3 linked regions of the Pelodiscus sinensis genome follow. The protein of the gene in region 3 purifies or fractionates together with the protein of the main gene of each other region. This does not show direct contact. Links are inferred from orthologs where the notes say so. Each region holds a gene or a part of one and is shown on either strand. Other genes may lie near its edges. The genes, in order: CLK2, NCBP3 and PNN.

Evidence for each region.
Region 1: the proteins of PNN (region 3) and CLK2 purify together in Homo sapiens (affinity purification with mass spectrometry; 3 studies listed by BioGRID and IntAct, counting the BioPlex papers as one, with this or other methods). This does not show direct contact. The link is inferred for Pelodiscus sinensis from reciprocal best matches to the Homo sapiens genes PNN and CLK2.
Region 2: the proteins of PNN (region 3) and NCBP3 purify together in Homo sapiens (co-immunoprecipitation; 3 studies listed by BioGRID and IntAct, counting the BioPlex papers as one, with this or other methods). This does not show direct contact. The link is inferred for Pelodiscus sinensis from reciprocal best matches to the Homo sapiens genes PNN and NCBP3.

Annotation. Positions count from the first base shown.
Region 1 is NC_134734.1:22,345,952-22,349,695, reverse strand, and holds the start of CLK2 (dual specificity protein kinase CLK2), read right to left. Parts: upstream 2,297-3,744; 5' UTR 2,106-2,296; intron 1,335-2,105; exon of another isoform or gene 1-1,334. UniProt on the Homo sapiens protein: Dual specificity kinase acting on both serine/threonine and tyrosine-containing substrates. Phosphorylates serine- and arginine-rich (SR) proteins of the spliceosomal complex.
Region 2 is NC_134731.1:14,841,457-14,845,200, forward strand, and holds the start of NCBP3 (nuclear cap-binding protein subunit 3), read left to right. Parts: upstream 1-1,180; 5' UTR 1,181-1,312; coding exon 1,313-1,459; intron 1,460-2,737; coding exon 2,738-2,803; intron 2,804-3,744. UniProt on the Homo sapiens protein: Associates with NCBP1/CBP80 to form an alternative cap-binding complex (CBC) which plays a key role in mRNA export. NCBP3 serves as adapter protein linking the capped RNAs (m7GpppG-capped RNA) to NCBP1/CBP80.
Region 3 is NC_134714.1:45,293,448-45,297,191, forward strand, and holds the start of PNN (pinin), read right to left. Parts: upstream 2,766-3,744; 5' UTR 2,603-2,765; coding exon 2,490-2,602; intron 1,736-2,489; coding exon 1,664-1,735; intron 1,314-1,663; coding exon 1,248-1,313; intron 1-1,247. UniProt on the Homo sapiens protein: Transcriptional activator binding to the E-box 1 core sequence of the E-cadherin promoter gene; the core-binding sequence is 5'CAGGTG-3'. Capable of reversing CTBP1-mediated transcription repression.

The sequences.
Region 1 (3,744 bases), on a different chromosome or scaffold from region 3:
TCTGCTCTAGCCAGACAGCACTCCTTCCCAGAGCCACGAGGGCAGCCCGGCACCCTGGCTCCCACCCTCGTGCTAGTGCCTCTAGATACCTGTGGCTCTGCATTATTCACCAGCAATGTGGTCTCCAGGGAAGAATGTGAAATCAGAGCTCCCCTCACCCTCACGTGACTGATTCATCCCAAGATGCACTAGTGCACCTGGCTCATTTCTTGTACTTGCAACTTCATCTGAAAGCAGGTGCACAGAGACAGAAAATGGTCTGATCAAAGATGTGGCGTCTCCTCCCTATGAGCGACTTACGGCCGGGGGGGCAAACCTAGGCCTCCCTAGGCAACACAACCCTCCCTGCTGGGTAACTTGGACAGCAAACACACTCTTCAGGCTCTGAAGCCAGGAGAACATTAAAGGCTGCCACACCTATTCCGTGGACCAAAGAGACATTTCTGGTCTTTAATGAGAAATCCACATTTCTGAGCTTCGTGCTGGCAGCTTTTCAGATGCCAGGAAAGCAGGACAGTCGCACTACTCCGCCCTCGTAACCCAGAGCATGGTGTCTGTGGAGCAGCGGTACCGCTCAGGAAGCTGGCAACAGCCAGGAGAAGCTATAAAGAGGGTGCCTCTGAGCAAGGTGCTTCTCGCAGGGACCACTGCCGATTCTGAGCCAGCACGTCTCAGTCTGACTCAGTCCAGTTATAAAAGCCAGCAAAGAGACTAAAATGGAAACGGCAGCTATCGCTGGAGGGACCCTTGTTGCCAGCAATCAGCACCGCCACCCTGAGCATTCGTACTGGGCTTCCTAAACACCACTGAATTAATCCCGACACTCCAGCAGACAGGGAATGTCACAATGCCCATCTACAGACAGAGAAACTGAGGCACGGCAAGAGGAAGGTGATTGCCAAGGGCACAAAACAAGTGAGAGGCTAGAACTACAGCCCCACAATCCCGGCTGTCAGACCTCTGCTCAGATCCCAGCCCTGAGGCCTGCTCCCAGGCAGTACTGAGCTATCCTCAGCACCCCCGGTCCTGGAAGCTCTTGGCCCTGGCTCAGGCTGCAGAGTGACCCCGAGCCTAGGAACACTGAGCAGCCAGCATGGAGATAAACCTGCTGGGTGTGTGTGTGGGAGTGCACGCAGACCAGCATCGGAACGCCGTGTTTTCAGCCCTGGCAGTCAGGATGCTGACGTGGGGACCCAGCACCTGCTCCCCACCAGCGAGCCCCCTGCACAGGCGCCTGCTCCTGGCTGGGGACAGCAGACACCAAAGCAACCACTGCTAGAGGCAGCCACCGTGCCCCCCACCGCCAAGGCCCCCTGAGGCTGCCCAGCCCACCCCGCCCTACCCCCCCACTGCCCCACCCCCTCCCACACCCCAGGCTGCCTGGTCCCTCCCCACTGCCTGGAGCCCATCCCGCCCTATCCCCCACTGCCTGACCCCCCCAACCAACTCCAGGCTGCACGACCCCCCCCACCCCAGGTTTCCAGGCCCAGCCACTGCACGACCCCCCCCACCCCAGGTTTCCAGGCCCAGCCACTGCACGACCCCCCCCACCCCAGGTTTCCAGGCCCAGCCACTGCACGACCCCCCCCACCCCAGGTTTCCAGGCCCAGCCACTGCACGACCCCCCCCACCCCAGGTTTCCAGGCCCCTCCCCCACTGCACGACCCCCCCACCCCAGGTTTCCAGGCCCCTCCCCCACTGCACGACCCCCCCGCCCCAGGTTTCCAGGCCCCTCCCCCAATGCACGACCCCCCCGCCCCAGGTTTCCAGCCCCTCCCCCAATGCACGACCCCCCCGCCCCAGGTTTCCAGGCCCCTCCCCAATGCACGACCCCCCCGCCCCAGGTTTCCAGCCCCTCCCCCACTGCACGACCCCCCCGCCCCAGGTTTCCAGGCCCCTCCCCAATGCACGACCCCCCCGCCCCAGGTTTCCAGCCCCTCCCCCAATGCACGACCCCCCCTACCCCAGGTTTCCAGGCCCCTCCCCAATGCACGACCCCCCCGCCCCAGGTTTCCAGGCCCCTCCCCAATGCACGACCCCCCCTCCCCAGGTTTCCAGCCCCTCCCCCACTGCCTGCCCCCCGCGAGCCCAGGCCCGGCCCGCACCCTCCGCGCAGCCAGCCCGGTGCGCTTGTCCCACAGGAAGTCCGTGTTGGCGGCCGTGGGCCCCCGGGGATCCGGGCCCCGCTGCGGCTCCTCGGGCTCCGCTCCCTCCGGGTCCGGGTCCGGGGCCTAGCGACCAGGCCCCGCGCGCGCGCTCCCGACTCCGCCGCGGCGGGGACGCGCGCGCACAGCGATAGCCACCAAGCCCCGCCCCCTCTGCCGCGCGGCCTCAGTGACGCAACCGCATCACGTCACAGGCGGCTCCGCCCCACGGGACACGTGATTGAGCTCCCTTCCGGAAGCGGGGCCGCGCCTGTCGCTCCCCAGCGGCAGCGCCGGGCCCCGCCCCCCACGTGTTCCCAGCCCCGCCCCCCCGCCATGACCTATAGCCCCCCAACCCAGCCCTCCCGCTCCCCACGTGTCTCCATCCCTCCATCTCCTACAGCCCCCCCGGCTCCCCTCGTGTCCCCCCCCACGTGTCTCCATCCCTCCATCTCCTACAGCCCCCCCGGCTCCCCTCGTGTCCCCCCCCACGTGTCTCCATCCCTCCATCTCCTACAGCCCCCCCGGCTCCCCTCGTGTCCCCCCCCACGTGTCTCCATCCCTCCATCTCCTACAGCCCCCCCGGCTCCCCTCGTGTCCCCCCCCCCACGTGTCTCCCATCCCTCCATCTCCTACAGCCCCCCCGGCTCCCCTCGTGTCCCCCCCCCACGTGTCTCCATCCCTCCATCTCCTACAGCCCCCCCCGGCTCCCCTCGTGTCCCCCTCCCTCCGCGTCCCTGCAGCCCCCCCACGTGTCTCCCATCCCTCCATCTCCTACAGCCCCCCCCAGCTCCCCTCGTGTCCCCCCCCACGTGTCTCCATCCCTCCATCTCCTACAGCCCCCCCCAGCTCCCCTCGTGTCCCCCCCCCCACGTGTCTCCATCCCTCCATCTCCTACAGCCCCCCCGGCTCCCCTCGTGTCCCCCCCCCCACGTGTCTCCATCCCTCCATCTCCTACAGCCCCCCCCGGCTCCCCTCGTGTCCCCCTCCCTCCGCGTCCCTGCAGCCCCCCCACGTGTCTCCCATCCCTCCATCTCCTACAGCCCCCCCCAGCTCCCCTCGTGTCCCCCCCCCCACGTGTCTCCATCCCTCCATCTCCTACAGCCCCCCCCGGCTCCCCTCGTGTCCCCCTCCCTCCGCGCCCCTGCAGCCCCCCCACGTGTCTCCCATCCCTCCATCTCCTACAGCCCCCCCCGGCTCCCTCCGTGTCCCTGCAGCCCCCCCACGTGTCTCCCATCCCTCCATCTCCTACAGCCCCCCCCGGCTCCCTCCGCGTCCCTGCAGCCCCCCCACGTGTCTCCCATCCCTCCATCTCCTACAGCCCCCCCAGGCTCCCCTCGTGTCCCCCTCCCTCCGCGTCCCTGCAGCCCCCCCCCACGTGTCTCCCATCCCTCCATCTCCTACAGCCCCCCGCTCCCCTCGTGTCTCTACAGCCCCTCAGCTCCCCCCGTGTCCCTCCCTCTACGCTCCCCCACATCCCTGCAGCCCCCACACATCTCCCATCCCTCCATCTCCTACAGCCCTCTAGCCCCCTCCCACTTCTGCACCTGGTAGCCATTCCCATTCCTGTGTCCTTACAGCTCCCTATCTCTTAGTCCCC
Region 2 (3,744 bases), on a different chromosome or scaffold from region 3:
TTGCATCCCTTTTTCGTAAAAGGGATGCAAATTCGACATATCGCAATTACTAATGAAGCGGGGATTTAAATCTCCCCTGCTTCATTAGCATAAAAATGGCTGCCGCTTTTTTTCGGCACGGAGCTTTGCCGGAAAAAAGCGCCAGTCTAGACGCAGGTCTTTCGGAAAATAAAGCCTTTTCCGAAAGATCCCTTATCCCTCTTAAAATAAGGGATAAAGGATCTTTCGGAAAAGGCTTTATTTTCCGAAAGATCTGCGTCTAGACTGGTGCTTTTTTCCAGCAAAGTTCCGTGCCGAAGAAAAGGGGCAGCCATTTTTATGCTAATGAAGCAGGTGAGATTTAAATCCCCGCTTCATTAGCAATTGCGATACATCTAATTTGCATCCCTTTTACGGAAAAGGGATGCAATCTAGACGTAGCCGGAGTGTATCTGGATCAGTATCTACCAACTCACATATTAATGTGTTATATAGTACAGTGTTTCTCAGCCAGTGGTTGAGAGAACTCTGGAGGGTACATCAACACAACTAAAATTGGAGAAAACTGAATTTTTGTTTTAAGTTTTACAGCGTTTTATTATTTTTGTACTTTTTACACGCCAAAATTTCATCACCCACCTGGCTACTATTAAGTTGTTTAAACAAATGTGTTGCAAAATGGTAGAAAAAAATGTGTGTGTCTGAAAACTATAGGTACTGGGGGTACTTAAAATTTATTTATTTATGTTTTTGGAAAAGGGGTACTTTATAAAAAAAAAAAGGTTGAGAAACACCGATACAGTGTACAACGTGAGTTGGTAGATACTGATACAGATACACTCCCTCTCAAGAGTGCCGCCTTTTGGAAAGTTGGAATATGGTAACCCTATCTCTCGTGAAATGTGCACAATGCTGCCATGACACAATGTTGTGATGCCCTTGTGAGCTGCACTGTATTGTGCTCCCCCTCCCCCCAGGGCTGCAGGTGACCTGCCCGGAGGAATTGTGGGGCGGGAGGGCTGCTCAGGCTCAAGGCTGTAGGATTTTCGACTGTAGGCAGAACCAGACTCCACACAGGCAACTGGCCGCTCTAGCCTCTCCTCTGTACTCTATGCCACTGGAGGACCGAGCTGGTCGCGCTCCCTCCCTGTCTCTATGGCATGAAGAGCGCTCTTGCCGCCGTCTCTATGGTCGTGGCGGCGGCGGCGCGCTGTCCGCCAGCCCGCGTCTCTGTGGTAACGCAGGCCGGCTGGGAGGCGCGGCGCTCCGTCCATCCGGCGGGCCCCTCTCTCTGGTCGCGGCCTGAGGGCGTGTGGGCCGGCTTGGCGGAGCGATGGCGGCCGTGCGGGGCCTGCGGATCTCGGTGAAGGCGGAGGCGGAGGCGGAGCAGCCCCGCGGCCCCGAGCCCGAGCCCATGGAGGTGGAGGAGGGCGAGCTGGAGACCGTCCCCGTGCGGCGCTCGCTGCGGGAGCTCGTCCCGGTGCGGGGACAATGGGGGAGGGGGCCGGGCGCGGGAAGCGGGCGGGGGGGGGGGGTCGGTGCGAGAGGCGGGGCAGGCAGCCCGGGACCGAGGTACTAAAGGGGAAGCCACAGCGACCCCTCAGTCTGAGGCTGAGCGGGGGGGGGGGAGCCCCGGGTTTTCTTCCAGGGGGGACGCTGAGTCTCAGCGCTAAGGGAAACGGTCACTGGGGCGGGGGGGTGACACTGGGTTATCGCCTGGCAGAGACTGGACCCGCTTTGCTGCGGGCTTGTGAACTCCCCAGCGCTAACTGATGACAGCGGAAACCCTGTTTTATTCCCCCCCCCCCCCCCTTCGCCCTGCACGTCGCTCTTGTGACATTAATCGGGCGATTTCACGAAACAAAGGCAGGGCTATTTGGGGAAATGGGACTAGACTCAAAGGTGCGAAGAGGCTTACAAGTGACTTTCTGTTTAATACAAAAGTGCAGATGAATGGTCTCTTGTTCTAAAGGGGACTTGATAAGAGCCTGGTACATTGTCATTTTTAGAGTCTGGTATCTTAAAATAATTTGGTGATAAAAGATTTTTTTCAATTGGAAGACATGGAAGTTAGGCTCATTCTGCATTGGCACAGTATAGACTTTCTGTCTGGGGTGTGAAAAAACACACCTCTCTCACAAGTGTAGCAAGTCTGCAGTGCTGGGGGTCAATGAAGAAACTCTTCCATTGACTTTCCTTACTTTTCTCGTCCACATTAGAGTAGAGAAGTCGATGGCAGACTGCAGTCTATTTGACAGGTCTAAACTGTACACACTAAATCAATGGCTTGTGGATTGATTTCAGGGGGTCAGTATTATAGACAAAGGCTTAGTCAGTGTTGTACACATCTTGGTCAAGAAGATAATGGAGCTTAGATCTTGTCTATACTGTTACTTTACTGCACTTTAACTTTCTTAGGCAGGGATGTGAAAAAACACCCCCAAGCGCAGCCATTAACAGCGCTGTAAAGTGCCATTATAAACAGACTCCCAGTGCAGGGAGCCATGCTCTCCACATTCTGTTAACCACCTCTATGAGGGGAATAGCTTACTTACAGTGGTAGGAGAGCTCTCCCATTGATGGTGCTGTAACCCCATTGCCACAGCTTCACTTTAAACTTACAAGTGCAGACAAAGCCTCTGAGTTCAGAGAAAGTAGAAAGAAATGGTTTTATTTTAGAACTGTTTGCCAGATGAGATTTTATCAGTCTAACTGATTTATTGTATTTTGCCATCATCACAATTCTGCTTTGTTTCAGGACACTAGTAGAAGGTATGAAAACAAAGCTGGAAGTTTCATCACAGGAATAGATGTCACCTCCAAGGTATTATTGTGTTGTGGGTTTTCTTCAGTACTGTTGTCTGATGGGAAGCACTGTTAGTCTTCAGGAATTTCGGAGAAATGGTCATTTTTAGATTCACTTAGACCAGTGATTAGCTTTTTAATGTGTCTTCTGCAGCAGTTCTCTCTCTCTCTCTCTCTCTCTCTCTCTCTCTCTCTCTCTCTCTCTCTCTCTCTCTCTCTCTCTATATATATATATATATATATATATATATATATATATATATAAAATTCCTGTGGGATTGGTCCTGCCTTAGGCAGGGGGCTGGACTTGATGACCTCCTGAGGTCTCTTCCAGCTCTATGATTCTGTGAGTTTATGACAAACTGATGTCATCACATCACAGCTTCCACAGGGTGAGTAGGCACACTCCACCCCTTCCACTCTGGGCCCCATCTCTGGTGTCAAGCTCCACCCACCGCCAGCCCAGCTCTCTCCAGTGGCCACATGGAGAGTTGGCCTGGCGTGCTGCAGCCTGGCCTTTCCTGGACTCCAGGGACTGGTGTGGGCCTGACCTGGCACGCCATGGCCTGGCCTTCACCTGGGATCAAGAGCAGGTCTGGGACTGGGCTGTCACACTGCAGCCCAGCCTTTGCAGAGGGCACTACGGCCCAGCCTTCCCTGGGGGCTGAGGGTATGGCTAAGTCTAGCCTGGTGCGCCACTGGCCAGCCTTTGCCAGGGGCCATGGGCAGGTCTGGGCCTGGCGCAGCTGGCACAACCGAGGGTGGGGGAGAGAAAGGGCCCGAGGTTGGCATGGCAGTGGGGAACAGAGGAGGGGCCCAGCCCGGCATGGCTGCACCCCAGCCCTCCCCAGTAGCTGGGGAAAAAGCCAGGATTGCCTACTCGCTGCAAGAGGGAGGTTGGCTAGTGTAGCTAGCAGTGGATGCAGCCCCCTAGTGTTATTAAAGCACTGTGATTTAATT
Region 3 (3,744 bases):
AGTGGCCAAATGGTTCACTGGAAGGCTGTTAAGAGGCAAGTAATTGGCTAATCGTGTAGTAGACAATTTTTATCGACTTCATGATTAGTTGATAAGGGAAGGTGCTGAGTCCCAGCTCATGTCGGGTCCAGGAGCTACTCCCGCTGTGGCTCTGCAGTTAAATTTCGTAGGAGCTGGGCATGCAGGTAGTCCAGCCCCTACTACATTTAAACTGAAGAGCTACAGTGGGTATCGTAGACACAGGTGAGCCAGGACTGAGCTGGGCTACCTACCTGGCTGTACCAGCCCCTATCAGAGGTAACAGCATGGGGTGGCAGGTAAGAGCTAGTCTGCAAGGGGAACCCTGTGCACAAGGAGCCTGGGCTCACTGCAGAAAGGGGTGGCTGCTGCTGCAGCAGCAGCAGGTTCTCCTGCTGCTCTGCCTCTGACAGAGGCAGCAAGCGGGGCAGCCAGGAGGGTCCACAGAGCCAGTGCTCAGGGGGAGCTGGCTTTTGAAGACTAGCTCCTGCCTCTGCCTCCACTCACTGGCTCTGTAAGATGCATCAGGAAAGATAAGCAGACGGGTCCACAGAGCTGACTCCTCACCCATATTGACTCCTGCCTGACCCCAACCCCTCCACACCGTTGGCTCTCTATCAGAGGCAACAGCACAGAAGTGCAGGTCATTGGTTCCCGTTCCCCAGCCCACTGCCTCTGATACAGAGGCAGCAAGGGGGGACAATGTGTGCAGGCTTATTGGTTAATCGTGTAGTCATCTACACATTGACATTCCTAATAGCCATTTAAACTATAGGCAATCCAGCTATCCATTGACACCCCCCAATAATCAGCAGTTGATATTAACAATCAGGTGTTTTAGATTTCGGCATCAACTCCTCATTGAGCGAAGGGAATGATTTATACTCAGATATTACTTCAGAACTATTGAACGGTAAGTTACCACTCAAATTCTACATCTGATTGCATTTCTTCAGAATTATTACATTTTATAGCGAGGAGGAGACAGAGACAAGATTTTATCAGAACTGATATGAACATGTTAAAACATGGATAGGGAGCTATATCCTTACTGATGCAGGAGGGATCATCCAAAAACAGTGACAAAAGCTTTAGCTTTGGAATTAGTAATCTTTAAGAAAGTAGTTATAAAGCCACCAGACTAACAGTTACCAGTTCTGACAATTTAAATGTGTTAAAACATGATGACCTTTCACTCGAGTAAAGTTTTTGTTCACCTTTATACTTACCTACTGGTTGCCCCTTCAAGATCCCTCTGTTTGGCTGGGGGTCCTCCGCTATCCGAGAATCCACGCCTAAAAAACAGAAGACTTAATACATGAAGTAAAACAAATAAGTAGCTGTCAGAGAGACCTGGACACTGGAACTGCAGAGTTTCCAATGCTGGTCTGCCGTTGACTCAAATGTGATCCTGGGTAAGTTAAACTTCCTGTCTATGTGGGTAATGCTTCCCTACCTCACTGAAAACAATCATCATAATAATTATATTTTAGTAACAGTCAAGTTATATAGCATTCTCCATTGCCTATATTAGTGGCATGAAGTACACAATAACCCTGTAATACTGACCCTACAAAACCTGATGGAAAAGTAACATTTAATAATTTGGCGATGGCTGAGAACCACAAAATAAACAGTTTCTTACCTCAGCAATATGCTACCACGCCCTCTACCTCCACCAGGGCCTGTGATGGTCAATAATCTACCTTGAGCGGGCCTGGAAGAAATGTACTAAGTGTTAGAATGCGGGCAGAGTAAGCAAATATGCTCTCTCTGGAGACCTGCATGGTCTCACATACCAGACATTGACTAACAGAGGGAAAACCTCACATGTCAAGAGAATAAACTTTGCTTGTAAAAACCTTGCTGGGGAAAAGCAGCACATACCCTTGGCAAGTGCACAGAGAAGGGATTGCTAGATATGTTTTCTAGCACTATATTTAAATTCCCAATCTTGGTGTACGCAGATGAGAAAAATAAGGGACTGTTGGCAACCCAATGACCTCCCCAACTCAGTTCCCCCTCCCTCCCGGCTGGATCACGCCTGACAGGCAACAGAAGGGAGACTCTGTGTGTCCCTCTCAGACACGTTACCAACTGACTGTGCGGGCAAACCACGCCGCGGCGGCTGCCTCCGATCAGCGCCCAGCCCAGCAACCTCAGTGGAACAGCACGGAAAGCGGTGGCGAGCAGCCGGCCGCGGGGCGGGCAAAAGAAGTCTCCCGCGCTCCTCCGCCGGAACTAGGGGCCCGAGCAGAAAAGAAGGAGCGCCGGGCCGCGGCGCCCCAAACCCCGCAGGCCGCACCCAGTCGACAGGACTCGGACCCTCAGAAGCACGTTTGCTTCCAGAGTCAGTGACGCGCTGCTCCTCCGCTCCGAGAGAAAAGGAACCCGCAAGGCTCGTCCGGTCCGGCCCGCCCTCGTCCGCAGGGCGCGCGCCCAGCCCCAGCCCCGGCCTCGCCTCGCCTCACCTCACATCGTTGGGGTCCCGGCCCGTGAGCTTGCGGATATTCTCATCCACGTGCTTGAGGCTCTCCTTGGCCTTTTCCAGCTGCTCCTGCAGCGCGCGCACAGCCACCGCCATCCCGCCAGCAGCGCGGCCTAGCCAAGGGCCTAGCGCAAAGCACCGCTGGGTAACGGAGCGAGATGCCCCGCCCACAAACTACTCGATCCGCCCTACAACCCGCCAGTCACAATGCTCGGAACCAGAGTGACACCAATAGGAAATCGCCGACCGTCCAGGTGCGCCAATCACCATGTCTCGACCAGAAGCGACGACGCCTACAGCCTAGCCGCGTGCGACGCATCTGCCAATTAGAGAGCCCATGTCGGAGTGACAAATCGCCAGCCCCATCACCAGTCTTCCCTGCTTGCCATATCTGCGAATCACCGAAGGGACAAACAAAATGACATAGATCCCAGCCAACCAGCACCGTTTCCTTTCTTCCTATCAACCAATCAGAAGCAGAGTAATACTGTCCATCTCCACCCACTCCGAACTCTCTCAACTTTCCCGCCCCACCCCACGCCGAGGCCCTTCAGAGGCCATGAGGCATAACTAACAGAAGCGGGGAGTAGCCAATCAGCTCTTACTTTCTTACAACTCAACCAATGCAAAAGCATGTTGTTTGGGAACAAGAAAAGAGCGATTCCGCGCAAGGCCTGGCGTTTAGCCAATCAGCTCACGTGCTGGTGTCTTCTTTTTTTCCCCCTTCTACTCATGTAGCCGGCCCGGGATCGCCTCTCCTGAGGGGAAGCCGCCCTGGCTGCTCGTTTTGCGGGGCAAGATGAGCTGCCTGCTTGGCGCTGTTATTCTGCCTTTCCCATTGCAGCGCGGTGTCTCCCCTGCTGCGCATTCCCCTTCGCTGCAGTGGGAAAGAACCGAGCTTAGTGCCCTGCCGCCCGCAGCCTGCCCCGCTCCGGGGTGCGCCCGCGCTGCCGCGACCCTTCGTCCTCCGCATGATTGTAGGGCCAGGTCCTCGGGGCAATTCTGTGTCTCTTCTAGTTCTGCCGATCGTGCGGAGAGCTCCAAGCTGAAGTCCAGCTCGCTGCCCAGGTTTTTATCGCTCGCAATGAGCCGAGTAGCCAAGTCTCTCTGTTCTGGCTTTAAAATTCCTATGGAATGGAGGTGACTGTTCCTCGTATTCGCTAATTTCGCTCTATTTTACTACATCCAGCATTGGGTCATGATGAGCAGCTCACAGAGTTGGCATGAAGTAAAAAAAT